Linked DNA regions of Pelodiscus sinensis. The protein of the gene in region 1 binds, or shares a complex with, the protein of each later gene. Links are inferred from orthologs where the notes say so. Each region holds a gene or a part of one and is shown on either strand. Other genes may lie near its edges.

The links.
Region 2: the proteins of WWC1 (region 1) and DDN are in contact, whole or in part, in a crystal structure (PDB 6J69), measured with the Mus musculus proteins. The link is inferred for Pelodiscus sinensis from reciprocal best matches to the Homo sapiens genes WWC1 and DDN. Residues at the interface, in NP_740749.1 of Mus musculus: Glu13, Glu14, Ala15, Arg16, Asp17, Tyr23, Ile25, Asp26, His27, Arg30, Thr31, Thr32, Ser33, Trp34; in NP_001013763.1 of Mus musculus: Tyr227, Val228, Ala229, Pro230, Pro231, Ser232, Tyr233, His237, Arg238, Thr239.

What each region holds. Positions count from the first base shown.
Region 1 is NC_134727.1:8,391,243-8,399,026, reverse strand, and holds the start of WWC1 (protein KIBRA), read left to right. Parts: upstream 1-4,545; 5' UTR 4,546-4,967; coding exon 4,968-5,086; intron 5,087-7,784. UniProt on the Homo sapiens protein: Regulator of the Hippo signaling pathway, also known as the Salvador-Warts-Hippo (SWH) pathway.
Region 2 is NC_134729.1:4,988,777-4,996,465, forward strand, and holds the start of DDN (dendrin), read left to right. Parts: upstream 1-4,484; 5' UTR 4,485-4,837; intron 4,838-5,267; exon of another isoform or gene 5,268-5,684; intron 5,685-6,183; 5' UTR 6,184-6,196; coding exon 6,197-6,270; intron 6,271-7,229; coding exon 7,230-7,689. Other genes in the region: PRKAG1 (5'-AMP-activated protein kinase subunit gamma-1), read left to right, coding at 1,077-1,114, 1,740-1,886, 2,211-2,315. UniProt on the Homo sapiens protein: Promotes apoptosis of kidney glomerular podocytes. Podocytes are highly specialized cells essential to the ultrafiltration of blood, resulting in the extraction of urine and the retention of protein.

The DNA.
Region 1 (7,784 bases):
GCACTGGATAGCACCGAGACAGGGAGCCTTGTTCCTTGGCCTGTCCTACACAGAGCCCTTCCTTTTACGTATGGAAAGAACTTACCTATGAATCATTTTGTTTGCTTGTGTGGCAATAGTCACCTGTTTATCCATGACTTCATACTTCAAACAGATTTTGATAACACTGAATTCCTTTGTTATGAGTAAAAGTGGTAAAAGGGGAAGAGTTACAATGCAATAAATGCCTGCCTACGTACATGCATGCATTTTAATGAACAGTCAGGAATTTTTTTATTTAAAAACAATGGAATAATAAAGGGTTTTCACTGGAAGTTGAATATGTCTAGAAATATTTTTTTAGAAATATTTTTTTTTAAACAACACATCAAAGGCATAAATACAACTTGATAGTGTGCATTACTAGAGAACACTATCCTATTTGAATACACATGTATTTTGAGCTCATTAATCTCCTTGTTCTTTTTTCTCATCCTTCAATGCAATTTTTAATTGCTGCTGATTGTTTTCTGCTATATTACCTAACTCTCTTATAGCACTTTTCATCTATATATAGATCTCAATGTGGATTGCAAAGCGAGATGAGTACTGCTATACCCAATCTAAAAATGATTAACTGAAGCATTAGCCCATAACAAATCAGTGGCAGAATGGCGGACAAAGCCCATACCACCTGACTCCCTCTCCAAGATCCTGTCTAGTGGACTGCACTTCTGTAAACAAGTTTGATCATTCGCTAATGGAGTGAATAGTAGTTTAACATAGGGACACAAGCATTCCTGTTCTGGATCAATCAAGGGGACCGTCCGATCCAATAGCCTTTCTCTGATGCTCTGACGCCAATCCTAGATGCTTCACAGGAAGTTGTAAGAAACTCAACAGTGAACAATAATTGAATATCCAAATATGGATTATTATGGAACCGTCATTCTCACTCATTTTAATCAGTAGGGAGTTTATGCCTTGGAGCTCTGCCTGTCTATCCCCTTTAAAGTTCACTTTTAAATTCTTTTTTAATGGTGGTGCTCTCATTATCTACAAATAGAGGCCTTTTTACTAAAAGCTTTGGCCTCAGTGATATCCAGTGGCAATGAGTTCTGCAGGTTAAACACACTTTGGCTACGTCTACACTGGCCCCTTTTCCGGAAGGGGCATGTAAATTTCACCAGTCGTCGTAGGGAAATCCGCGGGGGATTTAAATATCCCCCGCGGCATTTAAATAAAAATGTCCGCCGCTTTTTTCCGGCTTTTAAAAAAAAAGCCGGAAAAGAGCGTCTACACTGGCCCCGATCCTCCGGAAAAAGCGCCCTTTTCCGGAGGCTCTTATTCCTACTTCCTACTTTTCCGGAGGCTCTTATTCCTACTTCCTACTTTTCCGGAGGCTCTTATTCCTACTTTTTATTTAAATGCCGCGGGGGATATTTAAATCCCCCGCGGATTTCCCTACGACGACTGGTGAAATTTACATGCCCCTTCCGGAAAAGGGGCCAGTGTAGACGTAGCCTTTGTGTATTTAATAAACCTATATTTCCTTTTATCAGTTTTAAAATTCACTGTCTTTAAATTCATTGAATGTCTCCTTGTTTTTCTGTCATCAGCAAAAGAAATAATAGTGACTTATTTACCGTCTGTTATGGGTAATATGAACCTTTCAAGAGCCCAAAGGGCTCTCTCCTGATTAATGTTTCCTCATGCCCCAGTTTTGCCTCATCAAATGAAACGGTAGAGTAGGTAGGACCCAGAGGATGCAGCCAATCAAGGGGAACAGATATTACAGGCAAGCCTGGTAGAAGGTGATGTCTGCTCTACAAAGGAAAAGAAAAATGTATGTGTCTTGCCACCCCCGCTACAATACTTAAAGTCTATACTGCAACACTATTTCAAAATAACTAGCGCTATTTCATAATAACTTAGAGTATGTCTACACTACCCCCCTAGTTCAAACTAAGGGGGGTAATGTAGTCATACGGAGTTGCAAATGAAACCCGGGATTTGAATTTCCCAGGCTTCATTTGCATAAAGCCGGCCGGCGCCATTTTTAAATGCCGGCTAGTTCGGACCCCGTGCCACGCGGCTACACGCACGGACTAGCTAGTTCGGATTAGGCTTCCTAATCCGAACTAGCTGTACACCTCGTTCCACACCTCGTACCTGCTCTTACCCTAGACACCCTGTGCTGAGCCACCTCTCTGGCCCAGTTCAGGGAAGCCCTGCAGTCAGGTTCCCTATGCTTTGATGCTCAATACATCCTTAGGGCTTAACTCCTTCCTGCCAGAACTGTAACCAGGGGACAGGAGGTGACTGGGTTATGTAGGTGGCCAGTGGCAGTTTAGAGGTGTGAACTGCCTTTCTGCACTATGCTGGCAGGAAGGCACAAGCTGCTTCTAGCCACAGAGAAGCAGTGTGTGGGGGGGAGATGACCTGTGAAAAAACATGGGCCAGGTCATCCCTGTCTTCCCTCCCCATTTCCCTTCAGCTGGAAGCAGCTCCCATTCATTCCCTCCTGCACAGGGATGAAAGGCTGCTACTGGTGTGAACTGTGACAGAGGTTTGGGGAGGGGCCTGTGACCCTTCATTTCCTTCCCCCCCCCCCTCCCACATGTTGCCTTGAAAAGAGGTGGATCCATCCTGGCAGCCCAGCCAGTGTATACAGTACTGTGCAGGGAGGCTTGCATCAGGCTGGTTACTCACCCCTATCCCTGTGAATCATAGAATCATAGAGCTGGAAGAGACCTCAGAAGGTCATCAAGTCCAGCCCCCTGCTCTAGGCAGGACCAATTCCAACTAAATCAACCCGGCCAGGGCTTTGTCAAGCCGAGACTTAAACACCTCTAGGGATGGAGACTCCACTACTTCCCTAGATAACCCATTCCAGTGCTTCACCACCCTCCTAGTGAAATAGTTTTTCTTAATATCCAACCTGGACCTCTTCCACCACAACTTGAGACCATTGCTCCTTGTTCTGCCATCTGTCACTACTGAGAACAGCCTCTCTCCATCCTCTTTGGAAGCTCCCTTCAGGAAGTTGAAGGCTGCTATCAAATCTCCCCTCACTCTTCGCTTCTGCAGACTAAACAGACCCAAGTCCCTCAGCCTCTCATCATAAGTCATATGCTCCAGCCCCCTAATCATTTTGGTTGCCCTCCGCTGGACCCTCTCCAATGCGTCCACATCCTTTTTGTAGTGGGGGGCCCAGAACTGGATATAATACTCTAGATGCGGCCTCACCAAAGCCGAATAAAGGGGAAGGATGTCTGTGTCAGAGAGGTTACGGGACTGTGTGTGTCACAGTCAAACCTTACAGATAAGGAGGTAAATAAAAAGATTCCAGCCACACAGCATTTCTTTTTCATAGGAGTGCAGTCAACTTGATGTTAATTTGAACGTGTGTACTGCATAGTTCTGCTTGCCACTGACCTCACTTGAATATGAGTAATTTTACCAGGTGTCCCTTATCCAACATAGGGAAATATGGTCACCTTATATGGTACCACTGATGCTGCTAGAGGAAATGAGTGTGCCCCTGCCTCACTCCACACAAAATGGAAGGAGAGGTAGTAGTGCACTCCTCACCCTCTTAGCCCAATGGTTAGAGCATTTTCCTGGGATGTGAGATCCATTTTGAATCCTTCCCCCTCTGGGATGGGGGGATATTGACCCTGTCTCCCACCTTGCAGGTAATTGCTTTAATCACTGGGCTAAAAGTACAAGCTGGGTATCACTTTGTTTTCCCCTCCACCCCTCCGAATTTTGAATGGACTCAATTCAGTAGGTGGCTTCTGAGCTTGTCAGCTGGATCAAGCCCTACATCCAATTAATTGCTCTGGGGCACAGGCCTGTGGATGCCCAGTCTGCAATACAGGGGAACTTTCACTTTAAAAATGTAGGTGCCAAGTGAGTTTTGGTACCTAAGAGTTCAGTTTATTTATGCAGTGGAGCCAAAATTGCAACTAGGTGACAAAACACCTTGGTGGATCCCGGCCCTTGGGTCTCCTCTGAGCACACTGGCTAAATCCAGCCATTTTAATATGCCACCCAAAGCTTTCTATCTGGAAAAAATAAAAGGAATGGGGTGGGAGGGAATGACCAGGAAACCCATCACCCTAAAGCAAGCACAAGCTGCGGGGTGCCTGAGCGGTGACCTCCTGGACTGGTTGACTGTAGCACTGGGGTAAGGGCTGTGGCTGCTTAAGGCTGCCACGCTGGGCTCCACAAACAACCCCGTGCACGCTCCAGCTCACGGCCATGACTACCTGGGGCCGGTAATTTCCCGGGGAAGGCTCCGCAGAGTCAGGGGCGGGATCCTGCCTCACCTGTGCCCTGTTCTAACCACTAGCCCGCTCTGCCTGGGGCCGCGCTAGCCCGAGACGCCCCCGCCCCTCGCTGCCGGGGAGAGCAGATGGCTCGGGGGGGGCCACCCCGCCCTCCCGGCTGGGCACAGGGGGGCGCCGAGCGACCCAGCCGGCGTCCGGGGCAGGTGCCGCCCGGTGCCCAGCCCCGCGCGCGGCAGAGGGAGGGGCTGCGCTGTGCCCACCCCCGTGCCCTGGATGGGGAGGCGCCTGCCTGCGGTGCGCCCGTGTTTACAGGAGCAGCGGCCGCCGCGCCGGTACCTGCCGCGCCGGAGCACCTGGGGGCGGGCCGGGCGCTCGGGCCGGGGCGGAGCAACACCCCCCGCCCCGCCGCGGCGGTGCCAGGCTGGGCCGGGAGCGGCAGGAGCGGAGCCACCCCCGAGCGGCCGGAGCCGCGCTGGAAATGGAGGCGTGAGGGGAGCCCGCGCCGGGATCTCCGGCTCCCCCGGGCGTAGGATGTGACTCCCGCCGCGTCCTCCTCGCAGCGCCTGGGCGGGTCGCCGCTGCCCCAGGCCCCGGGCCTTGCAAGGGGGGGCCGCCCCCCAGCCCGGCTGCTCCTGCCGGCGCCAGGCGCGGGGCTGGGCGCTGCATGGGGCGGCTCAGGCCGGCCTGGAGAAGATGCCAAGGAAGGAGCTGCCTCTGCCAGCGGGCTGGGAGGAGGCCCGGGACTTCGACGGGAAAGTCTATTACATCGACCACACCAGCCAAAGCACCAGCTGGATCGACCCGCGGGACAGGTATGAGGCCGGACCGGTTGGACGCGCCCGCGCTGCCTGTCGGGGCAGCCAGGCAGGTGCAGGGCGAGAGGCGTTTGCTCCGCCGCGCAGGGCAGGGGCAGCGCCGGAGCACAAAGAGCCTGATGCTAACGAGCACTGGCTCCTTGGACCCCCCCGACGGCTGGCCCGGGAGAGGGCTGGGGGGTGCGTGTGCTCAGCCTCTGTTGCTGCAGTTGCCAGTGGCGCAGACCAAAGAGGCCTCCTGACCAAGATGTGTAACAGCCCCCAGCGCTGGGTGCACGTTTACATTGATTCCCCCCAAACCACTTCTCTTTGCGGAGGGAGCTCTCTCCACTGCATAGGCTATAGCGGCTCGTAACTTCAGCGTTAGGGGGCAAGAGGCTGGACAAAACTACTTTGAATTTTGCTTGAGCCGCACAATCTTTTCTCGGGTCACTGCTAGGTTGGAAGGTGACTCGTACTGACTTTCATAGTGGGGAAACTGCATGTTGCTCTGTAGACCAGAAAGTATTTTCGGGGACTCTTAGTGCTAGTCTGGATAAAGTGTTTAGTAAACAAGTGATTTGATTTTGATTGATGAATAAATGCATCGATCAATTCATAAATATGGTTGGTACCATAATACCTGTTAGGACTAAATTCTCTGTACCTTTCAATGTGTGGGATAAGGATTTAGATTCATAGGTGTGTGTGTTGCTACCTCTGCTGAGGAAAGGCTAATTCACACAGCTGATGTTTAACTGAATAATATCAAGGTCTTACCTGATTCAGTCAGATGTACCCGGAAAGAGGACCTTTACTGTTTCAAATGTTTCCATGCTGTCCCTAGCCTAACTGGAACACCGTCCCATCCCAAGCATGCAATTTGACTCCATTGAGATTATTCAGTTTATTGTTTTTGATGGAAGAGAAGGAGTTCCCCTAACTCTGGCTACTAAGGGCAATCATTATAATGTTCGTTTTTGCCCCCTAAGCCATAAAAAAGTGACTTCTTACATTTTGACTTGTAAGTAGACCACCTGCATTATAATATATTCACAATATAAAGTGTGTCCTGGAAATGTCCTGGTTGCTTTAAGTTTGTCAGATGATCAAGAGTCTGCAGTTTTGGGCCAACTTCTGCAGGTGCAACCTGTCATTATTATATTTGCACTGCTGACACTCAAGATTTGACTTTAGCCTTTTGTTTAGTTGTGTTACACTGCCACTTAGCTTGCCACTGTTTAACAGCTACTTGGTAACCATTAGAATGTTAATGGAAGTGAGAGACATCCCTTGACTGATGTCATGACCTTCTATTTGTCCTGTATGCTATAATGAACCTCTTACTCAGTTCTCTTATGTCTCTATCTTCCCTGTGTTTCCCTTCTAACCTGTTTACAATCCTTGCACTGTCTTTAAAAACTCTTTAAAACATGCTTCTGCCATGTCTAGAAATCATTTCTTTTTGGCATTGGTAGGGAAAGTAGTCAGTTTTGTCACTGTTTTGGTTTCCTCACCCTTCCATCCATCCCTCAAACCTAGACTGTAAATTCTCTGTGGCAGGGACTCTCTTTGTTGCATGATGTTCAGTATCTAGCATGATGGGGTTCTGATCCTTGACTGTGGTTTCTAAGTGGCATTATAAATATTTGGGCAAAGAGTCCTTGTTCTGGCTCTTGTTTCCCATTTCGTTTCACAGAAGAGTCTTGTCCCCTTTGTTACTTCAGGGCTCTTGCAGATCTGACATAGACACTAATCTTCTTATCAAGCATGTTGAAATTATTATTTGGATTGTAGTAACATTCAAAGACTCGAATCACGATTGGGATCAAATTGTGGTGTGCTCTACAAACACCTAGAGACTTTTGGACAGAGACTATGGATCTAAGATCAGTGCTGTAGTATATTAGTGCTGTATTACGACATGTTCTATGTTTTGACCCATCTTTTTAAAACAAAATATCATGACCTAAATTCCTATTAACATTCTCATAGGTCCTACAATTGACTAACTGCTCTGATTCTGTTATTTTCATTCTAACTCATCTGATGAAGTCGAAAGCTCATGATCCAATATATTTTTGTTAGTCTCTGAGGTGCCGCAGAATTTGTTTTTAAATTCCCATCGGATATTCATGGAGTTAGTCATGTCCCATAGTGCTTCTCTGATCATTCTTATATCTCCTTGTATTACTGCTCAGTTTCCTTCTTGACCCACTTTACTTTGAAGTGTGCACTATTATTCTTTTGATCATTATTATAAATTATGCTCAAGATATTAAAAGCATCTGCTGTGAGTCACCATACCAGTTACTTTTTGAATGTTCTGTCAACTTAGGTCTCCTTAAAAAATTGCAGTTAAAATTATCAGCATGTGATCAATTCAGTTTTCTTGCTAATCTGTAGAAATGTCACTGAAACTGTCAATTATACTGTTTCTTTAGGAGATCATGTGAAGAGACAGATTTTTAACACATTTTAATTGTACAATTACTGCAACTGAAGAGACTTGTGCCTCAAAATACTATGTTAACACTTCTAAAATGCTAAAGTGATCTAAATTTATAAAATTGTACACTATGTGAAACTTTGCTGAAGTTTCAGGATTCTTGGACTTACTTACATTTTTTTTAAAGAAATTCATAGTCCAAAACAACTATAACAAGCATAAGGTGTCTCAGAATGTTACTGTAATAATTTTAAATAGTTAAATGGA
Region 2 (7,689 bases), on another chromosome or scaffold:
TCCTGGGGTGCTGAGCTGAGCCCCCCCCCCCGGGGGGCCAGGCCAAGCTGAGACACCCCCGGTGCGGAACCAGAGCCCCCCAAGAACATGCCGATCCTGAGCGCACCCCCAGACCAGAGCGTTGCTCCGTCTCTGCAGCAGGACTTTGCAAAGGGCTCTCGGTTTCCCGTGGCTCCCCAGGTTGGGCTGCCTGGCTGCTCCATGTCCCTCCCCTCCTCAGGCTGCAGGTGCCCCTCGCGGGAAGCTCATGATGGACCCGCACGTTCCTGGCGCTCAGTCTGGGCTCCCGGGAGCTGCCAGGCAACGTGGGGAGACCGCCATGGGAATTGAGCCGCCGTCGAGGTGCCGGCTGGCCACCTGGATCCCCAGCAACCTGCACTGCTGTCAGTCCCAGCCCACGTTGGCCCAGACACCAGCCAGCCCCCGGCCCCATAGTAGGGATGTCACAGAGCAGTGGAGTAACGTGAGTGTATCCGCGAGTGGAGTACTCGACCACTCGCGCTCCCCCCCGCTCCTCCCCGTCTTGCTGCCTCTCATACAGAGGCAGCAAGGCTGGGGACGGGAGATGGTGCTGGGGGGGAGCTGGCTTAAAAGCCAGTTCCCCCCAGCACTGTCTCCGTGGTGCCGCCTGCTGCGGAGGCAGCCGGGGCGGGGGGGCGAGGGGAGGCTGCTCCGGCAGCAGCTCCTGTTTGCAGCGGCCCGGGCTGGCTCACTCAGCGTGAGCCGGGACCGAGCAGTCCCAGCTCGCTCCAGCCTGGGACGCTGCACTTGAAATGTAGGAAGGACCCGGCATCTGCTGAGCTGCGGTGCGGGGGGCTGCCAGAGCTACCCTGCTGCGGCTCCGCAGAGCGGCCCTTCTCCAATTGTATCGACTACACAGTTCGCTGGTTAACCACAATTTCACACCCTTACCCCCCCCCCAACTCTGCGCTCCCACAACCAGGCCCAGCCCCCAGAGAGCCCGCAGGGCTGGAACGGACCCATCTGGCTAGGGGGAGGGATTCCCACCCTGCAGCCACTGTGGGGCAGGGAGGGGGGCCTGTGCTCATCTAACCAGTGTCTCCCCTCTGTCTTAGGTCGGGTGGTTGACATATACTCCAAGTTCGACGTCATTGTAAGTACTGGAGCTCCAGGGGTAGCCGGGTACTGACCCCAATGCAGAGCTTAGGGGGCGCTGCCTGCGTGGGCCAGTGGAACGGGGTGGGGGGGGCGCCAGGTGCTGGGAAGGGGGGGGCGTTTGGAGCACCTTGCCTGCGTGGGCCAGTGGAACGGGGTGGGGGGCGCCAGGTGCTGGGAAGGGGGGGCGTTTGGAGCACCTTGCCTGCGTGGGCCAGTGGAACGGGGTGGGGGGGGCGCCAGGTGCTGGGAAGGGGGGGCGTTTGGAGCACCTTGCCTGCGTGGGCCAGTGGAACGGGGTGGGGGGGGCGCCAGGTGCTGGGAAGGGGGGGCGTTTGGAGCACCTTGCCTGCGTGGGCCAGTGGAACGGGGTGGGGGGGGCGCCAGGTGCTGGGAAGGGGGGGGCGTTTGGAGCACCTTGCCTGCGTGGGCCAGTGGAACGGGGTGGGGGGGTGCCGGGTGCTGGGACAAGGAGGGATTGCAGGCTGGGGGGGGCCTTCGGGGCACCTTGCCTGCACGGGCCAGTGGAACGGGGTGGGGGGGTGCCGCGGTCTCTGTGGGGCAGAGTGAGGGGAGCAGGCAGGTTTTGCCCTGCCCTGGCTCACCCCCAGCCCCGCCCCCAGAACCTGGCGGCCGAGAAGACCTACAACAACCTGGACGTGACGGTGACGCAGGCGCTGAGGCATCGCTCGCAGTACTTCGAGGGCGTCCGCACCTGCTACCGACACGAGACCCTGGAGACCATCATCAACCGGCTGGTGGAGGCCGAGGTAACCTCCCCCCACCCTGGGACCCTTCATGGCCCTTCCTTTCCCCTGGGGTCCCCGTGGCCCGCAGGGCCCCTCCTGTAACTCCTGGGGAGGGACACAGCCCAGCAGCTTGGATGGGAGCCCGGGGGAGGGCCTGGCTGGGTGTGGCATTAGCTGCACTGTCCTAGCCAGTCCCCCGTTTGCCCCCAGCGCCTCCTCCCTGCACTTCCTGTCCCAAGGCAGCGTCCGTGCTGGGCGGCCGGCCTCTGGGTCTGCACTGCCGTGGGAGGGAGCCGTGGGCTGCAGCGCCCCGTCTGACGTCCGTCCGTCTGTCTGTCTGCGCAGGTCCACAGGCTGGTGGTGGTGGACGAGAGGGAAGTGGTGAAGGGCATCATCTCGCTCTCGGACATCCTGCAGGCGCTGGTGCTCCCGGGAGGCCCCCGGCCCTGAGGGCGGCCCCGTGCTGCCTGCAGAGAGACTCTTGCTGAAGTGGGGGCCTGAGTAACAGGGACCAAGGAGGCCAGGCCCCCCCACCCAGCCATGCATCACCTGCTGGCTCTGCCACGGCTCCACCAGCATCATGCCTGCCTCCTTCCCCCTCTCCCCCAGCCAGCGGGAGGGGGGGCGTCATGCCAGCCAACAACCAGCAATAAACTCAGCCCCTTCTCCGGGGCAGGCTTGGTTGCTCCCTCCACGGGGCATGGGGCAGGGCCGGGCCCAGCCCTTTCCAGCACCATGTGGGCGTTCGCCTGGGTGGAGCCTGGCCGGGCACCCGGTGGTGGTGCTGCCAGCCCCTCCTGCCTGGCCAGGGAAAGCCTCTGCGATCAGCTGCCCCCCAGCACCAGGCCTGTTCCCATTTCTGCACTCCGGGACCCTCGACGTTCCCATCTGGGAACTGGATCCGTTTCCTTATTTCCTCCCGGCCCCAGTGTGGGTCCTCAGCCAGCTCCTGCCCTGCAGCACTGCATGGCCGGTGCCCCTGGGCATCTGCCACGACCTTCCCCAGAGAGTGCGCCCGCGGTTTTTACTGAGCACCATTTTTGTAGCCTGTCTCCGGAGCTGGCTCGGTGTGGGCCGGGGCCTGGCTCCCTCTCTTCCTCGCGGGCCCAGGTTTGGAACCCATCCCGCCTGGCGTTGGCGGGTCTGGGCTAGTGCTTGTGGGGATTCTGGGGCGAGGAGCGTCTAGGGGCTTGTGTCTGGGCCCCCGCCCCGGCCCCCGCTGCACCCATCACTGTTCATTTATTGCAAGTCTAATAAAAACCAGGCCCTGTGTCTAGGAGCGGTTACTGGCCAGAGGCTGTTCACGTGGACGCGGCGTAGCTGGGGGGGTGCGACAACTCCAGGGATCGATGGTTCTCCGGGGCCACTGGAGCCAGGACCTGCAATGGGCTTCAGCCGCCTGGGGACTGTTTGGGTCCGGGAGGGAAATCCCCCGCTCTGGGTGGAGGTCCCTGTCAGGGCGGGGCAGGTTCCTAGCCCTACCCCCACAGCCCCTGCCCTGCACGTCTGTGCTGCCTCCCCGGGCGGGCGAGACCCCCAGCCCAGCTGGGGGGCACGTGGCCTAGTGCTCAGGTAGCAGGGAGCTGAGAACGGGAGGAGTAAGTCCCTGTATGGAGCGGAACAGAATCCTGCAGCCCCCAAGGAGGCTCTCCCCAGCTTGGCCTGTGCCCGCTCCCCAGCTCCGCTGCAGCCCCTTCTGGCCCAGCCCTGTGGGTCAGCCAGCAGGGGGCGGGGGGGGGGGGTTTGCTTTCCTCCCTGCCCCTCCATGTAACCATCCCTGGGACAGGACGCTGCTGAGCCTGCGCCACTGTCCAGCCGGTAAATCCCTGTTTGTTCCACCCGTGGGTTTTCTAAAAAGGCTGGAAGCCAGAGCGGCTGCCGGACCCCTCCCCCAGGCGCGGGGGCTAGAGCCGGGCTCCAGCAGCTCCTGATCCCCCTGTCTCAGCAGGGAGCCTCCGGCTGGGCGGAGAGAAGTGGCCAGGGCATCAGGGGCTGAGGGTGGCTGCAGGGAGGGAGCATGAGCTAGTGGTTAGAGCAGGCCCAGGGCACTTGGGCAGAAACATGAGCTGGAGGTAAGTGCCTGGCTCGTGCTCAGGACACCTAGGTCCCTCTGCTCACACGAGCCTCCTTGGGGCCCAGCAACCCCGCTCCTGGGCCAGTTCCCCCCCACGCCTCCCCCAACACCCAGGGCAGCAACTGCCAGTCTCCCCCACTCCCTCCAGACTGGACCCTCCTGTCGACTGGGTGGGGGATGGGCAAGGCTGGGAGCAGAACGAACTAATTAGCTGCTTGTGGAGGGCAGGACGATGCAGGGTGTGTGGGGGGGGGTCAGGGAGTGGCTGCAGGGCGTGGGGGGTGTAGCAGGCACAGACTGCAGGGGGGAGGTGATGGATACAGGCTGTGGGAGGGGAGTCAGGGAATGAGTGTGGGGGGGTAAGTGCCAGGCACAGGCTGCAGGGGGGTGGGGAGGGCAGGTGATGGGTCCGGGCTGCAGGGTGGGGTTCACCAGGGGGTGAGGTACAGACTGCAGGGTGGTGGGGCTGGGAGCAGGCTGATGGGTAGAGGGGGAGGTGTTGGGGTGGGGGCTGGGTGCAGGGGGGTGCCAGGCTCGGGTTGCAGCTCCCGAGGGGGGCTGACCCAGCTGGCTGAGGCGGGTCAGGGGTCTGCAGCTCCAGTGAGCGCCAAGCCGGGCAGCGCCGCTAACAGGCCTGCTGAGAACACGGGTCTCAAGGCAGGGGGGGGCTTTCGATCCCCCCAAGTCCTCTGGCATCTCCGTCCCCGGCTCCCCCGCCGTTGGCATGGCGCCGACAGCCCTGGCGCCTCCCCGGGCGGTGCTGAGCGAGGCACATTCCCTGCCGGGTGGGAGGCTCCGGGGGGCTGCCTAAGAGCACGGCCCGGAGCCGCCTGCTCGTCAGTGCGAAGGGCCCGGCTCCAGGGCCCTGCAACCCAGCCGGGGTTGGCGTCAAGGCCAGGTAGGGTGCCCGGGGCGCCCCAGGGTGCCGGCTCTGATCCAGCCCGGGGCGTGATGCACACGGGGCCGCTGCTGGGATGGGCGCAGGGGGCTCCCTACTTGGGTACAACCTCGTCTCCAGAACTAGGCCCAGCCTGGCACCTCTGTGCCCTGGGGCCCAGATCCTGCTCTGGCCCAGGAGGGAGCCCTGAGCCGACCCGCTCACCTGGGCGCTCTGGCCGCTGTGCTGAGCAGGGGCCGGTCAGAGCCCCGCCCTGCCCCCTCCCTGCCCCCGCGCCGCGGCTTTACCCAGAGGCACAACCCCCAGCCCCCTCGGTGCATCCCTTGCTGGAGCCCAGCTCCGGGACGGTTGCCATGCCGGCGCCTCGTTGCTAGGTTTCGCTCCGAGCCCGCGTGGGCTGCAGCACGTTGTGCCAAACCTTATAATTTGTGTGATTGTTGCATCTCTTGGGGCGATGTGGGGGGGTCCCTGTGCAAGGCCTGGGGTGGGTCTGAGCCCCGACCTCCCCCGGGTGTTTATGCCGCCACTCCCCCATGGCAGGCTCAGCTCCCAGCCTCCATGCACAGGCGGTGCTGGCCCTAGCCGAGGGAGGCGTCCCAGCCCCCTGCCCCCTCCCAGAGCCGGGAATAGAACCTGGCTCTAACCACTAGGCAGGCTTGCCTCTGAGTGCCCCCCCCCCCTCCATCAGCAGGCTGGGGGGATGTGGTGCCGGCAGGGCTGGGGGTCCTGTCTGCGGGGCCCCTTCCAGAGGCTGTCACAGGCCGCAGGTAACTGTCCCTTGTAGAGGCATCCGCATCAACGCGCTGAGCTCTGCCCGGCTGGGCTTGCAGCAGGTGCCTGTTGGCAGGTACGTGGGGGCAGCTCAGGGTCGGGGCGCCTGCAGGGCAGAGGGAGAAGGGGCCGTGCCAGGCGTCCTGGCTGATGCCGGGTTGCAGGCCCTGCTGGAGGGCTGTGTGTCTGCACGGGGAGGGGCGGGGGTGTGCGCACGCTGCGTGCCGTGTGCCTGTCTCCCCGTGTGCACGCTCTGTTCCGGCTGCTGGCAGGCTGGCACTCACCCGCCCGCACAAAGAGCTGCTCCTCTTGCCGACACAGCCCTGGCGCTCAGCTCCCAGGCTCACCAGCAGCCCGTGGGCACAGGCAGCCCCCATCCCTCCCTCTCCTTGCAGCTCTGCCTCGTGGGCACGCCCGGCTCCCTGCGACCGGACAAGCAAGTCCCCTGGCACCATGCTGGGCTGCTCGGCGCTGGGGGGCCCCGGGCAGCAGCGGGGACCAGGCCCTGGGCGCCTGCAGATCTGCAAGCGGACGGACCTCCTGGTGCTCGAGATTAACACAGTTTCTTGTTGCAGCCAGGGAAGCACCATGGACCCAGGGCACTGGCCTGTTCAGGCCCCCGGCACCCCCTGGATCTACCGGAGCATCTCGGGGGAGTACGCGTGAGTCAGGGCCTGTCTCGCTAGATCAGTCATCCTGGCGGGGGCGGAGGGCACCATGTTGCAAAGCTTTTCCCTATGCTTGCCTGGTGGGAAGTGGGGGGGGCACCGGCAGGGCTGGGGGCGCCCAGGGCCGGGCTGGCAGGGGCTGCAGGTCGTGACTGAGGGGCACCAGCAGGGTTGGGAGAGCCCAGGACTGGGCTGGCAGGGGCTGTGGGGCGGGGGTGAGGGGTACCGGCAGGGCCAGGCTGGCAGGGGCTGCGGGGCAGGGGTGAGGGGTACTGGCAGGGCTGGGGGCGGCCAGGACTGGGTGGGCGGGGCTGAGGGGTACCAGCAGGGCCAGGCTGGCAGGGGCTGCGGGGCACGGGTGAGGGGTACTGGCAGGGCTGGGGGCGCCCAGGACTGGGTGAGCGGGGGTGAGGGGTACCGGCAGGGCCAGGCTGGCAGGGGCTGCGGGGCAGGGGTGAGGGGTCCCGGCAGGGCTGGGGGCGCCCAGGACTGGGTGAGCGGGAGTGAGGGGTACCGGCAGGGCTGGGGGGAGCCCAGAGCTGGTCTAGCTGGGGCTGTGAGTTAGGAGTGGGGGACACTGACATAGCTGGGGGGAGCCCAGGACTCAGGTAGGATGGGGCTGTGGGTCGGGCTGCATCTCCACTTTCCCCGACATCCTGCCACACAGGGTGCCCCCTTGCACTGCTGGCCAACGCTTCCTTTTGCCTGACCGCTACAGACCCTTCACAGACTCAGCCAGGGCACCTCCACTCGCCCCGTGGGCCAGGAAAGCCCCAGGGCGTCTGCCAGGCTGGGCGGGGGTGGTGCCAGGGTCACCCATGTTCCACCCTTGCGTGGCGCCCCAGTTAGCAGGATCCCTGCCCCCACAGTGGCCTCTCCGTAGCCCCCCTTGCAGCCGGGCTGCCAGTGGGTGGTGTGGATGTATCCCCTGAGCGGCTGTCTCTGCCCCGCAGATGCCTGGAGAAGCGGTTCGCAGCGGAGCTGTGGCCAGCCCGGTCCCCGAGGCCCTGCGAGCGCCAGGACCCCATGTGGAGCAAGGCACCTCCCCAGCCCCAGCCGCCTTCTGGCTGTGACCCCCGGAGCCTGCGGCTGCTGGGCAGAGCAGCAGGAGGGCACCAGGCCGCCCCCCAGGAGAGAAAGCCCCGCAGCGGCTCTGTGGGCGGGAGGGGCCTAGGCTGGTCAGCTCCCCCGGAGAGACTGGGGGAAGCGGCATTGAAAGGCATGCCAGGCAGGCGGCGGCTGGCAGGGGACACCAGGGGGCCACTCCCGGCTGGGCCCCCCAGCTACGAGACCCACATGCTGAGGCGGCTCCGGGTGGAGCAGAGCAGCCGCAAGCCCAACGAACTGCGGCCCCCACCCTACATCTCGCCGCCCGCCTACGACGCGCCCCACCGCACCCTCCCCACCAAGCGG